Macaca fascicularis: one gene and its partners. The protein of the gene in region 3 interacts with the protein of the main gene of each other region in a biochemical or structural test. Links are inferred from orthologs where the notes say so. Each region holds a gene or a part of one and is shown on either strand. Other genes may lie near its edges.

Region 1 (4,128 bases), on a different chromosome or scaffold from region 3:
TAAAAGGGACCAAGGTACAGCTTGGGCTGTTGCTTCAGAGGCTGCAAGCCCCAAAACCTTGGTAGCTTGCACGTGATGCTGGGGCTGCAGGTGCACAGAAGTCAAGAATTGAGGTTTGGGAACCTCTGTCTAGATTTCAGAAGATGTATGGAAATCCCTGGATGTCCAGGCCAAAGTCTGCTGCAGGGGAAGAGACCTCAAGGAGAACCTCTGCTAGGGTGTTGCAGAAAGGAAACATGGGGTTGGAGCCCCCCCAGAGTCCCCACTGGGGCACTGCCTAGTGGAGCTGTGAGAAGATGGCCACCATCCTCCAGACTCCAGAATGGCAGGTCTACAAACAGCTTGCACCATACACCTGGAAAAGCCGCAGGCACTGAATGCCAGCCTAGGAGAGCAGCCTCTGGGCCTGAACCCTGCAAAGCCACAGGGTCGGAACTGCTCAAGCCCTTGGGAGCCCACTCTTTGCATCAGCATGCCCTGGATGTGAGACATGGAGTCAAAGGAGATTAAAATAAGCTTTAAGATGGAATGACTGTCCCACTGGATTTTGGACTTGTATAGGGCCAGTAACCCCTTTGTTTTGTCCAATTTCTCCCATTTGGAATGGGAGCATTTACCAATGCCTATTCCCCCATAGCATCTTAGAAGTAACTAACTTGCTTTTGATTTTACAGGCTCCTAGGCAAAAGGGACTTGCCTTGTCTCAGATGAGACTTTGGACTTGGACTTTTGGGTTAATACTGGAATGAGTTAAGACTTTGGAGGCCTGTTGGGAAGGCATGATTGTGTTTTGAACTGTGAGGACATGAGATTAGAAAAGGGCCAGGGGAGCCGGGAGTGGTGGCTCACGTCTGTAATCCCAGAACCTTGGGAGGACGAGGCGGGTGGATCATGAGGTCAGGAGTTCAAGACCAGCCTGGCCAATATAGTGAAATCCCGTCTCTACTAAAAAATACAAAAATTAGCCAGGTGCGGTGGCTCACGCCTGTAATCCCAGCACTTTGGGAGGTGGAAGCCAGTGGATAACCTGAGGTCGGGAGTTCAAGACCAGCCTGGCCAACATGGCCAAACCCCATCTCTACTAAAAATACAAAAATTAGCCAGGTGTGGTGGCAGGCGCCTGTAATCCCAGCTACTTGGGAGGCTGATGCAGGAGAACTGCTTGACCCTGGGAGATGGAGGTTGCAGTGAGCGGAGATCATGCCACTGCACTCCAATCTGAGCAACAGAGCAAGACCCCATCTCAAAAAAAAAAAAAAAAAAAAAAAAAAAGGCAGGTTTGGTGGAATGCATCTGTAGTCTCTATTCAGGAGGGTGAGGCAGGAGGATGGCTGAAGTGTTGGAGGTTGTAGTGAGCCGACATAGCGCCACTGCGCTCCAGCCTGGGTGACTCTGTCTCAAAAAAAAAAAAAAAAAAAGAAAGAAAGAAAGAAAGAAAGGGGCCAGGGGCAGAATGATATGGTTTGGCTACCCATAACCTCATCTCGAATCTGGTGGGAGGTGATTAAATTATGGAGGTGGTTTCCCCCATGCTGTTCTCATGATACTGGTTTTATAAGGGGCTCTTTCCCCTTCACTCTGTCTCTCCTGCCATCTTGTGAAGAAGGTACTTGGCTTCTCCTTTGCCTTCCACCACGATTATAAGTTTCTTGAGGCCTCCCCAGCCATGCAGAACTGAGAGTCAATTAAACGTCTTTCCTTTATCAATTACCCAGTCTCAGGTATTTCTTTTTCTTTTTCTTTTGGAGATGGAGTCTGACTCTGCCTCCCAGGCTGGAGCACAGTGGCATGATCTCAGTTGACTGCAAACTCTGCTTCCCAGGTTCAGGGAATTCTCCTGCCTCAACCTCCGGAGTAGCTGGGATTACAAGCATATGCCACCATGCCTGGCTAATTTTTGTATTTTTAGTAGAGATGGGAGTTCATCATGTTGGCCAGGCTGGTCTCGAACTCCTGATCTCAAGTGATCTTCCCACCTGGGCCTCCCAAAGTGCTGGGATTACAGGCATGAGCCACCAAGCCCGGCCTCGGGTACTTCTTTATAGCAGTGTGAGATCGGTCTAATACAGACTCCATTCCAGGAGATGACAAATAGCAAAAGGCAAAGTGATACTCCCTTCTTGACTTTTTTTCTCCCCTACTTTTATGTCTTTACGTTTTCTCCTACCATCAACTGCCTTTCCTAACATTGTGGTGACTAATGATTAAAGAAGAAAAAAAGGACGAGATGAAACTGCACTTTACAGTACTTTTTCCCCCCACCACTACAATCCCGAATTGTGGAATTCATTCTTTTCCTGATCCTCTAATTTGTGCCGCGAGGTAAGGCTGAACCTTTCTACAGAGAAAGTGCTATCCAATACCAGGAACCTGAGAGTCCTTCCTCAAGCCATTATCTCAGAGCTATCTGGTCACCGTGGTCACCAGACATGCAGTCTATTAATGTCAACCACAGCAACACAGTGGGGGTGAGGGACGGGAGGTGATCTCTGTTTAATTTCGAGGAAGGGTCCAGAGAATCACCATCCAGCCACCTTCCTCCACTGGCCCCTCGATGTTCTCACGGCACCTCCCGTCCTCGCTCCGGGCCCATTTGCCCAGTAAGGGCCAGAGCGCCCCCTCCTCCGCTTAAGCCCGACCCCACCAACTTTTCAACCAATACGATATACTCTTTCTTCTCAGGACATACTCTCCGACTTCATCCCGGTCAGCTCCCTCCGTCCCACTCCTGGAGACTCACCAAGCGGGTAAGGCCACTCCTCTCCAGCCGCAGCTCGGACACCCCAACACCGGACCTGGCGCGGCGCCCTAGTCGCGCCTGCGCGCGCCGAGCCCGCGCGCCTGCGCACATCCCGTGCGCCGAGGACACGGACACACCCCTTCAGCTGGAGCCAATCACGGTGCTGGGGGTTTAAATGTCCCTGCCACGCAGGCGGAGAGTCTGGGAATTCACCAGTTAACCGGATAGATTCCGGTCATGCCCGAAGCTGGGAGGTGTTCATGCAATAAACATTTACGGAGGGCAAACCGTGTGCCAGGCACTGTGCTGGATGAACGATGAAGAAAAGAAAGCGAATAGAATGCTTTCCCTGCCCTTCAGCGTCTTTCAATATGTCTAGACTAAGATATAGATATGTAAACAAATTTATAGTGAATAGAATACAGTGCATAGCACATAGAAAATCTGAGGCGCCTTTGGCTGATAATGAACAAAGCGTTTTATTCTTAGGGGTGTCTGGAAGGGTTCCCGGAGGAAGTGACTTGAGTCCTGAAGGATAAGTAGGAGTTCCCCCGGAAATCCGGCAGAGAAAGAGCTAGAGTTTTCCAGGCTCTGGGAAACAGCTTATGTCGAGAACAGCATAACGCCTTCTGGAAATTTCTAGTAGTTCATCCTTGTAAGAGGCTTAGAGCTAATCGTACATCCCAGAGTGTAGAGGGAAGAAAGCTTTAGAAGGCCGACAATCGCTAGATTTTGGAAGGCCTTGGAATTTTAGACCACTTTGTACTATGGGCACTGAAAACTATTGAAGAGTTTTAAGCAGATGGATGATTATTGTAAACTATTTGCTGCAGGAACCCTTCCATGCACCTCTAAGAATAAAACAAACTGCTGGAAATCAAGAAAATAAAGTGCTTCACCAGGCACAGTGGCTCACACCTGTAATCAATCCCAGCACTTTGGGAGGCTGAAGCGGGCAGATCACGAGGTCAGGAGTTCGAGACCAGCCTAGCAAAAATAGAGAAACCCCCGTCTCTACTAAAAATACAAAATATGGCCGGGCGTGGTGGCTCACGCCTGTAATCCCAGCACTTTGGGAGGCCGAGGCGGGCGGATCGCGAGGTCAGGAGATCGAGACCATCCTGCTTAACACGGTGAAACCCCGTCTCTACTAAAAATACAAAAAAATTAGCCGGGCGTGGTGGCGTGGTGGCGGGCGCCTGTAGTCACAGCAACTCGGGAGGCTGAGGCAGGAGAATGGCCTGAACCCAGGAGGCGGAGCTTGCAGTGAGCCGAGCTCGAGCCACTGCACTCCAGCCTGGGCGATAGAGCAAGACTCTGTCTCAAAAAAAAAAAAAAAAAAAAATATATATATATATATATATATATATAAATTTTGTATTTTTATA
Region 2 (4,005 bases), on a different chromosome or scaffold from region 3:
AAAATAAAATTGTGAATTCTTGGGAGATTCTGCCATGAAGAGGTTAAGAGGATTGTCAATTATTCTGTAATTTGAACACTGAGGTGGTAATGCAGTAAATATCGATGAACAAACAGGCATCAGAGGGTCTGTGTGAATGACTCCTGGCTCATCCTATGTCCATCTGCTCCTGCCTCTTCTCACCGCATTGCCCTGGATTTTAAAAATTCAAACTTAAAATAGGAAATTTCTCAATTTTTTCCCCAGAAGCTGTCAATGATATAAATATTAAATTCATGGTTCAATGATATATTTTTTGAAATTTCTCAGTAAGTTATTCTAAAATTAGCTTTCTAATTGTGCACATTGCTTCTTTCTCTCAGCTCTGTGCCCTTTGACATCTTCACTGCAGTCCTCTACTTCCCCCGCTCCTCCCCAGTCTTCCACTAGCAAACAAACCCAGCAGTAATTACTAATGTCCAAGCACGTAATTCCGGCAGCATTAGGCTTTTCATTTGACGCAACTACGCAGACAGCTGTCTGGACATGCAGCATGAAGTTAAAGCATTTTAAAAAATTCCTACCCATATTTTCTCTCCTCTACCACTAAAACACAGTTGTTTATTTTTGTCTGCAGATTGCAAAGTTATAAACTTCTCTTATACATTTACATACTCTTATATAAATGTCCATCCAAATAATTTTACATCCATGCACAATAACAGATCAATATATACAGACATGGAAACACATAGTCATCTATAAAAAAAAAAACACTAGGAAATAATTAAATAGCTGGGAATGAAATCACCTTCTGTATATGGACAGGAAATTTTAGTATCTGTAGCATACGGATGATAGGAGGTATGACTATTTGAACACAATCCAAGGTCTCATTTGGGGTCTTTTAAGGGGATCATGATAGCGTTTCTTTAATGTGTTGTATAGATTATTACAATGACACTGTTACTCTTTTTTGCTAACTACTCAAATGGCATAATTTTGACACTGGTCATTTTTATGCCAGTTTTATCTATATCAAACAGAGAGAAATATCACTGATGACTTTTGCTCTCTCAGATACTCCAAGCCTCAGAGTAGAAAATGGTTAAAGTAGTTATCACCACCTCAGCAAAATCCCGCAGTGCCATAAGAGAAATTGCAGTAGATCTTTAGGTCAGAGTTCAGTTCTAGTTTAACACCATGGTTCTTTACCTGCGTTCCCCTGAAGGACACACTTCGATTCTCCTGAGGAAGACCAGTCTTAATGTTGTCAAAATCTAAAGCTATCAGCCTGTGATAACCAGTGCTGATAGGAAATACTTCCAGTAATTCAGAAACCATGGCCAAAGAGATTAAATCTATTCAGTACAGGACAAGCAAAATTTCTCAGATATGTGTTTTTGTGGATGAATACTTGTGTTCATGCCTGATTGCAAGGATGGGGGAAGAAGGAAAAGGAACAGTGATTCATTCTTAAAGTTGATTCTGCTTAGTTAAGCTAATCTCACATTTCTATCAAATGGAAACATAGAGATGTATCATCCCTATAAACAGATAGCATTGGCTTCTTTGTATATACAGTACTCACACTCACCCAAGATCTGTAGACAGATCTACTCTGTGTTAAAAAACAAAACCAAACAAAAATCTTGATACCCTGCTGAAGGATAAATGCCTATTTTTTTAAAAAATGTATTTATTTTCTACCTAAAATAAGGGTCAGAGGGCAACATAGATTTCCACAAGTAGACTATTATTTTGTTGAAGCTATGCAGGAGGTGAGGAGGGGAAACAGGAAATTGTCTGTAAAGGAGTCTCTGTGAGCAAGATTTATTTCTTTCTTGTTTTCTTTTAACCTACTATGACTCCTCTATTAAGGGTCCCCGTAAGACCAGGGTCTCAGAGAGACAATTTGGTCTCCAGCCCTCGCACATCCAGCCCTGGCCAGGCATTTCTGCCGCAGGCAGATGCGGCGCTGCGGCCGGACCGCTGTCCCCGGTGCTGAAAGGTCGAGGGCGCCCGCGCGAGCCCTCGGTATTGCTATCCAGGGTGCTGAGCGCGGGCCGCCGCAGTCCCCGAAGCCAGCCCACCCGCGCCAGCCCTCCGCAGAGCCCTCCCACCTGGCACGACCCGCCCGCCTCCCGCCAGCCTGCAGTTGACGTGGAGCAGGCGGCATAAATCAAGTCTGCGGGGCATGGAGGCTGCTGTCGCTGCAGCAGCTCAGCTTGCCCGGGGCGGGAACTCCCCCTTTCTCCTTTCGCTTCCCCAGCACCCACACCCTGCCTCCTCCTTAATTCTTCCCTGGATAATAGTACCCTAACGACAACAGTCAAAATAATAGGGTTAGAACGACGGGGGGGAACCCAACAGCCTAAATATCTCTGAAAACTGCATCGCAAAATGGAAGAAAGAGGGGGTCCCACTACTGTTTCAAAAGAGTAAGTTATTATTCGGTACGTACCCTCGCTCTTCCTTCCCGTCGCTCCATTTGCAGGGCTCCCGTTTCCCCTTCCCCCAGCAGTTCACCTCGAAAACACTTTATAAAGCCCCCACCAGACGTGCACACACGGAATACCGCACCCTAAGTGCACCAATACTTGTATTTACCCAAGCCCACTCGGAATGCCCAGCTGCTGTCCCTTCTGGGTATGCAGCCATCCCGAGCCAGAACCACGACCTGGGGAGGGGGCTCCTTACCTGGGCTTCTCGGGAGGGTTGTGTTCTCCGGGCCTCTGCAGGTTGCAAGTGTGGAGGAGCCGCCGAGCAGGGAGGGAAGGAAAGACAGCGCCTGACCTCCCCGAGGTTTCGTCTTCAATGCAACGTGAGCTCTGCCCTCATCAAAGATGGCCGTCCGTTTTGACGTCAGCAGCTTTTAATAGCCGCCCGGCGAGGGGCGGGAGGAAGTGGGGGCGGGGCTCCGGCGGGGGCGGAGGCGGGGCCCGGGCTGCGGCGCGCTTGACTCGGCTCCCCGGCGCTGCCCTGCAAACCTCCGTGTTTTCACCTCCTATAAACACCCAAAAGGGGCGACTCTTATGACTCCATTTTAACACTCGGTCTCGGGCAAAAGCGTTCATCCCGCAACTGCATTCTTGATGTTCTTTGGTGTGTGTGTGTGTGTGTACATATGTGCGTGTATATATATGTATGTGTGTATATATTTTATAATACATGTATAATATATGTATAATTTGTGTGTGTGTGTATATTTTCCCCCCACCCCCACCCCCACCCCCTTTCAGTGGAATCGGTGATTGAGTCATCTAAGGAGAGGGGAAGGCAGAGGGGGGTAAAAGGTAGTGATGGGAGGGGTGGGGGAAATTTCTGCGGCGATTTGTTTTCTCCAAAGAGGGTCCGGAGGGGCATCCCCGTCCACCCTCGCCAGTTCCATATATGGCCAGGCTACGTGGGTTGCTATTTTTATGAGTGATTGCTTCATGTTATCGAAGCAGCGCCGAGGGCTTGCAGCTCTCGTTGCTGTGGTCAGCCGGGGAGCGAGGCTGGCGCACGTTATTTTGAAGTACGTCAGAGCCAGGCTCTCTGAGCTGTTGCAGGAGTCGGGGGAAGGAGAAGGGAAGCGGAGTTAGCCCAGCCAGCGTGGGTTTGCGAGGACTCGAGGCTTGAAGTTGAGTTGTTTGCCGAGGGCAAAAACGGATGACGCTGCTTTGGGTGGAATTTGCAGTCGGCGCTGGGGTTTCGTGCTGGGTGTCTTAGGGGTACCCCACAGAGGCACGGACGCCCCGAGGGAACTGTCCAAACGGCCAGGAGGAGGTGGGGGCTTCAGAGCAAGGACGGCTGGGACGCTGCCGAATCTGGTGGTTCACTCAATGCGCAAACCCCGGGTACCCGTGCAGGCTGCCTCAGGGGGCCCTAGGATGCTCAAATCAGGGCGGGGAGACAAAGGCTACTTGTGCTGATCATATTAGAGATTAAAAGTGATAATTATAAAGCAACAATCCTAACTGTCCTCCCTGGCCGTGCACGGGCCTGGGGAGGGGGTGGTGCGCGGATCGCTCGGCGGTGGCA
Region 3 (4,154 bases):
ATCTGCTCTGCCTTGCCCCTTCTCCTGAGACCTTAAATATGCTCATTCCTTGGAGTTCCTTTTCCAGAGATACATCTGCTCTCCTGGTTCCAGCTGCACCCTTCCAAGATGCCCAAGCTGTTTCATCTTCAATCTGGGGTCCTTGCTGAGCCCTGGGCTCAACTACTCCAACCCTGACCTCTTGGTATCCTCCTCACTGGGGACACAAAGAGGGCCAGTCAGATCACTGCAAATCTCCTTACTAAGATATCACCCCAGGGGCCGTGCACGGTGGCTCATGCCTGTAATCATAGCACTTTGGGAGGCCAAAGCAGGTGGATCACTTGAGGACTTGAGGTCAGGAGTTCAAGACCAGCCTGGCCAACATGGTGAAACCTCATTTCTACCAAAAATATAAAAAACTAGCCAGGTGTGGTGGTGTACGCCTGTAATCCCAGCTACTTGTGAGGCTGAGGGAGGATTATCGCTTGAAGGAGGTGGAGGTTGCAGTCAGCCAAGACTGTGCCACTGTACTCCAGCCTGGGCGACAGAGAGAGACTCCATCTCAAAAAAATAATAATAATTTTTTAAAAAAAGATATTACACCAGGGGAGTTCCTCTTCAGTGTCGCCCCAGGGAAGTTCCACTTCCTGACTTCTTGAATTCCACCTGTGGGACTAAGGATGTCCCTGTCACACAGATAGCAAACCTGCCAGTCAATTTGTGACTTCTCACTCTCCTTCCCTGGGCAGCGCCATTAGCCACCAGATCCCACGTGAGTAATGTCTTTATCCCCTATTGAACCCTAACTCCTCATGTTGACTCCTAGAAAACACGTGTCCCAGCTGGGCGCAGTGGCTCACGCCTGTAATTCCAGCACTTTGGGAGGCCAAGGCAGGAGGGTCACCTGAGGTCAGGAGTTCGAGACCAGCCTGGCCAACATGGGGAAACCCCGTCTCTACTAAAAATACAAAAATTAACTCGGCATGGTGGTGTCCGCCTGTAATCCCAGCTATTCAGGAGGCTGAGGCAAAAAGAAAAGAAAACGTGTCCCACAGTCAAGCCTAGGTCTTGTCTGGGGTCAATAAGTAACTTCTTATTGAATGGAAGAAAATAAAGCAGGGTGTTATAACCGGACTGAGCATCAGGAGACCTGGTTTCCTGACCTTGAGCAAGTTCTTTCTCTCTCTGAGCTCAGGTTCCCCACTTGGAAAAATCATCCAATTGGACTCCATGACCTCTACAGGCCCTTCCTTCATACATCTGTCATCTACTACTTCATGAAACATTTGCTGAAATGTCATTTCTGAGAAAAAAAACCCACCTGGGTTTTTCTCATTCTTGTGTTGATGGAGTTATAGTTCTCATCAGCTTCCTCCTTCTGGGGCTCTATGGCTGTGGGAAGACACAGGGGTATTGGGGGTACTTGTCTCCATAGGATTTTTAGGGAAATATAATTTATCATAAAATGACTAAGGCTGAGCCTCCAAGAGGAGAAAGTAAGTTTATTTTTCTTTGCATTACATCACTTGAGTTCCCGTACGAATGCAGAGGCCACCTAACAAAACCCCATCTCCCTGCCCAAAGAATGCCCCAGTGGGCAGTGATAACTGTGTAAGTAAATGGTTTCATTGTAAATAAAAGAACCTGAGAGACTGCCTTGTGCTGTGGAGAGTACAATGGCCTGGAGGCCAGAAGACAGAGATGCTAGAACCAGGCCTGCTGTGTGACCTGGATATATCACTGGCTTCTCTGGGCCACACACTCCCCAGATATACCAACAACAGGGCAGGATCAGAGGGAAGGATCTGCCTGAGGTCCCAGTAGCTCACCCTTCAGCTGCAGGCGGATCTCCCTCCCCAGCTGTTTGATCTCGTCGCGCAGGTTCTGCAGCTCCTGCTTCATGCCTGAATAAGAGAAGGCCACGACTCCCAAACAGCAGCCCCCACCTCAACAAACCACCCTGGCCACCACCTGCGTGGAACTACAACCCCCACAATCCCTGGGGCGGAGCATGCGCTATGCAGCCGGGGTTTCACTCACTCTCCTCAGGAAGGGGCGTGGCCAGGATGGTGACCTGCTGTTTCTCCAACTCCTGGACTTTATTCCCCAGCTTGACAATAGTCTGCCGAATTGTCCGGACCTGGGGAGGGTGACCGAGAGGGCTGAAAGAGATATGGGGTACTCCAGACCACGCTGCTCCTCGGGTCCTCCTACCCCCTCGCGAATCCAGGCCAAGACTCCATCCCCTTACCTTCTGGAAGAACTCCTCGTCCGGGCTCCCCAGCCGTGCCGTGCCCGGGTGCACCACCAGCGCGACTCGCTCCTTGTCCTCTTCGTCCGAGCTGTCATCCCCCTGCCAGGCCCGGAGTCATTGGCACCACTGTTTCGCTGCGGCTGTCACCCCGCAGGACCCACAGGCTTCCGGGACTTTCCTTCCTGGCCATCAGCCACCCCTCCCTACCCCGAAGACCAGGAGTCCTGCGTTCCAGTTCGTCCGCGCGCCCCCATCCCCGCTGCCCTGGCGTCTCACCTGCCTCAGCTCGTGGGTCCTGTCCCGCATGGCGGCCTGAGCTCTCCCTCCCCGGCGTCAGACCGGGAGGCCGGCAAACTTGGAATACCCGTACCCCACTCACACTCTGACACTCCCCTCCCTCCCCCTGTGGACCCCAACACCCCCACGAGCCACCAGAGCCTCCGTCCCTTGCACCGCCCACAGTCAATGGGAAGGCGCCGACCCCGGGGACCCCCCAAGGTTCCACAGGTTGGAATTCCCTTTTCTTCCCCCCTCCAGCTCCCGCAGCCTCAGCCCCGCCCCTCCGTGATAAATTCGGGGCATGCGCATATGGTCGCGTCTCTTCCTCGCCCGAGGCGCGGAAGGTGGAGTCGGAAGTTATTGCGCCCCGAGCGGAAGCGGAGCTGCGTGGACGCGAGAACTGGCTACCGTCACCGGAACCGTTGCATCTTCCAACGGAAATCTGGTTGCCAAAAGGGGTAGGAATACGTCATTTGTACGTAATCTGAGGCACCCGCATCTCATATCACCCCATGGTGCCCCCACCGCGTCACGTGAGCAACCCGGTCCCAAACTCGTGGACCGCAGAATGTGACGCTGTGACTGTCACGTGTCCCGGCTCGGTCAGCGCCGTCTCTGGGACGCTGTTTTCATCACGACGTCCCCGGCACTCCGACCACCGAACGACGCCCACACGGCCCCCGCGAGGTGGGGAGGGGCGCGCCCACCACTCCCAGAGGCCTTTCGAGGCAGTGGGTGGTAGGACCCTTGCTGACTTCGCCTTTATTGCTTTCGGGTCCAGGGGCGTGGGCGGACTGACGACTTAGCATTTGGGGCTGTCAGCATCATGGGACCTTGAAAATCGGGAAATAATAGGATCCGAGTCGTCAGCGTCAGAAAATTGCAGGGTTGTGTGGGCAGGGAATCTAGGGGTGGAAAGTGACCTCAGCCAAGGCAGAAACCTCTTCTTCCGCATCCTCCTGGCGCAGCCTCTGACAGGTGGGCAGCCAGCCGGCGCCCTCCTTGAACACTACAGCCCGGCTGCACTCACCACCTTGTGGGCTGTCAGACCATGTCAGGGCAGCTCAGGCTAAGAAAAGTGTCTCTGCACGCTGCCTTCCCTGCCACTCACACCCCCCAGACCCTGCCTTGCATCTGAGGCAGGTAATGACTTTGTTCTTAACTGAATCTGGGGAGTTCCTAGCTCAGTACCAAGCACATTACGGGCCCTCTATAAATACTTGTGGACAGAATCTTAGCCTTTCATGTATCTGAGGATGAAGACCCTGGTTCCTTGGCCTTCTTTAGGCTTCAGTCTTTCTGACTGTGACACTTCTCTAATCCTGGCTATCGAGATATTCACTCATTTTTTATTTTTAAAAATTTTTACAAGATGGGGTCTCACTATGTTGTCCAAGCTGGTCTCTAACTCCTGGGCTCAAGCAATCCTCCTGCCTCAGCCTCCCAAACTGCTGGGATTACAGGCATGCACCACCATGCACAGAACATTCATTTAATGGATATTTTTGGGCACATACTATGGGCCAAACACTGTTCTAGGGCTGGAGATACATCAAGGACTAATAGATAAAAATTCCTGCACTCGTGGAACTTAAATTCTCTAGAAGGAGTCCCCAAGGTCATTTAGTAAGTCTCAGCA

What was found. The genes of interacting proteins can lie anywhere in the genome.
Region 1: the proteins of STX4 (region 3) and SNAP23 form a complex in vitro, tested with the Homo sapiens proteins (4 studies listed by BioGRID). The link is inferred for Macaca fascicularis from reciprocal best matches to the Homo sapiens genes STX4 and SNAP23.
Region 2: the proteins of STX4 (region 3) and SNAP25 form a complex in vitro, tested with the Homo sapiens proteins (3 studies listed by BioGRID). The link is inferred for Macaca fascicularis from reciprocal best matches to the Homo sapiens genes STX4 and SNAP25.

Annotation. Positions count from the first base shown.
Region 1 is NC_088381.1:19,102,884-19,107,011, reverse strand, and holds the start of SNAP23 (synaptosomal-associated protein 23), read right to left. Parts: upstream 2,801-4,128; 5' UTR 2,741-2,800; exon of another isoform or gene 2,690-2,740; intron 1-2,689. UniProt on the Homo sapiens protein: Essential component of the high affinity receptor for the general membrane fusion machinery and an important regulator of transport vesicle docking and fusion.
Region 2 is NC_088384.1:77,140,275-77,144,279, forward strand, and holds the start of SNAP25 (synaptosomal-associated protein 25), read right to left. Parts: upstream 2,801-4,005; 5' UTR 2,444-2,800; intron 2,436-2,443; exon of another isoform or gene 2,154-2,435; intron 1-2,153.
Region 3 is NC_088394.1:29,214,241-29,218,394, reverse strand, and holds the start of STX4 (syntaxin-4), read right to left. Parts: upstream 2,801-4,154; 5' UTR 2,543-2,800; coding exon 2,513-2,542; intron 2,336-2,512; coding exon 2,234-2,335; intron 2,145-2,233; coding exon of another isoform or gene 2,123-2,144; coding exon 2,023-2,122; intron 1,887-2,022; coding exon 1,812-1,886; intron 1,375-1,811; coding exon 1,304-1,374; intron 1-1,303. UniProt on the Homo sapiens protein: Plasma membrane t-SNARE that mediates docking of transport vesicles. Necessary for the translocation of SLC2A4 from intracellular vesicles to the plasma membrane.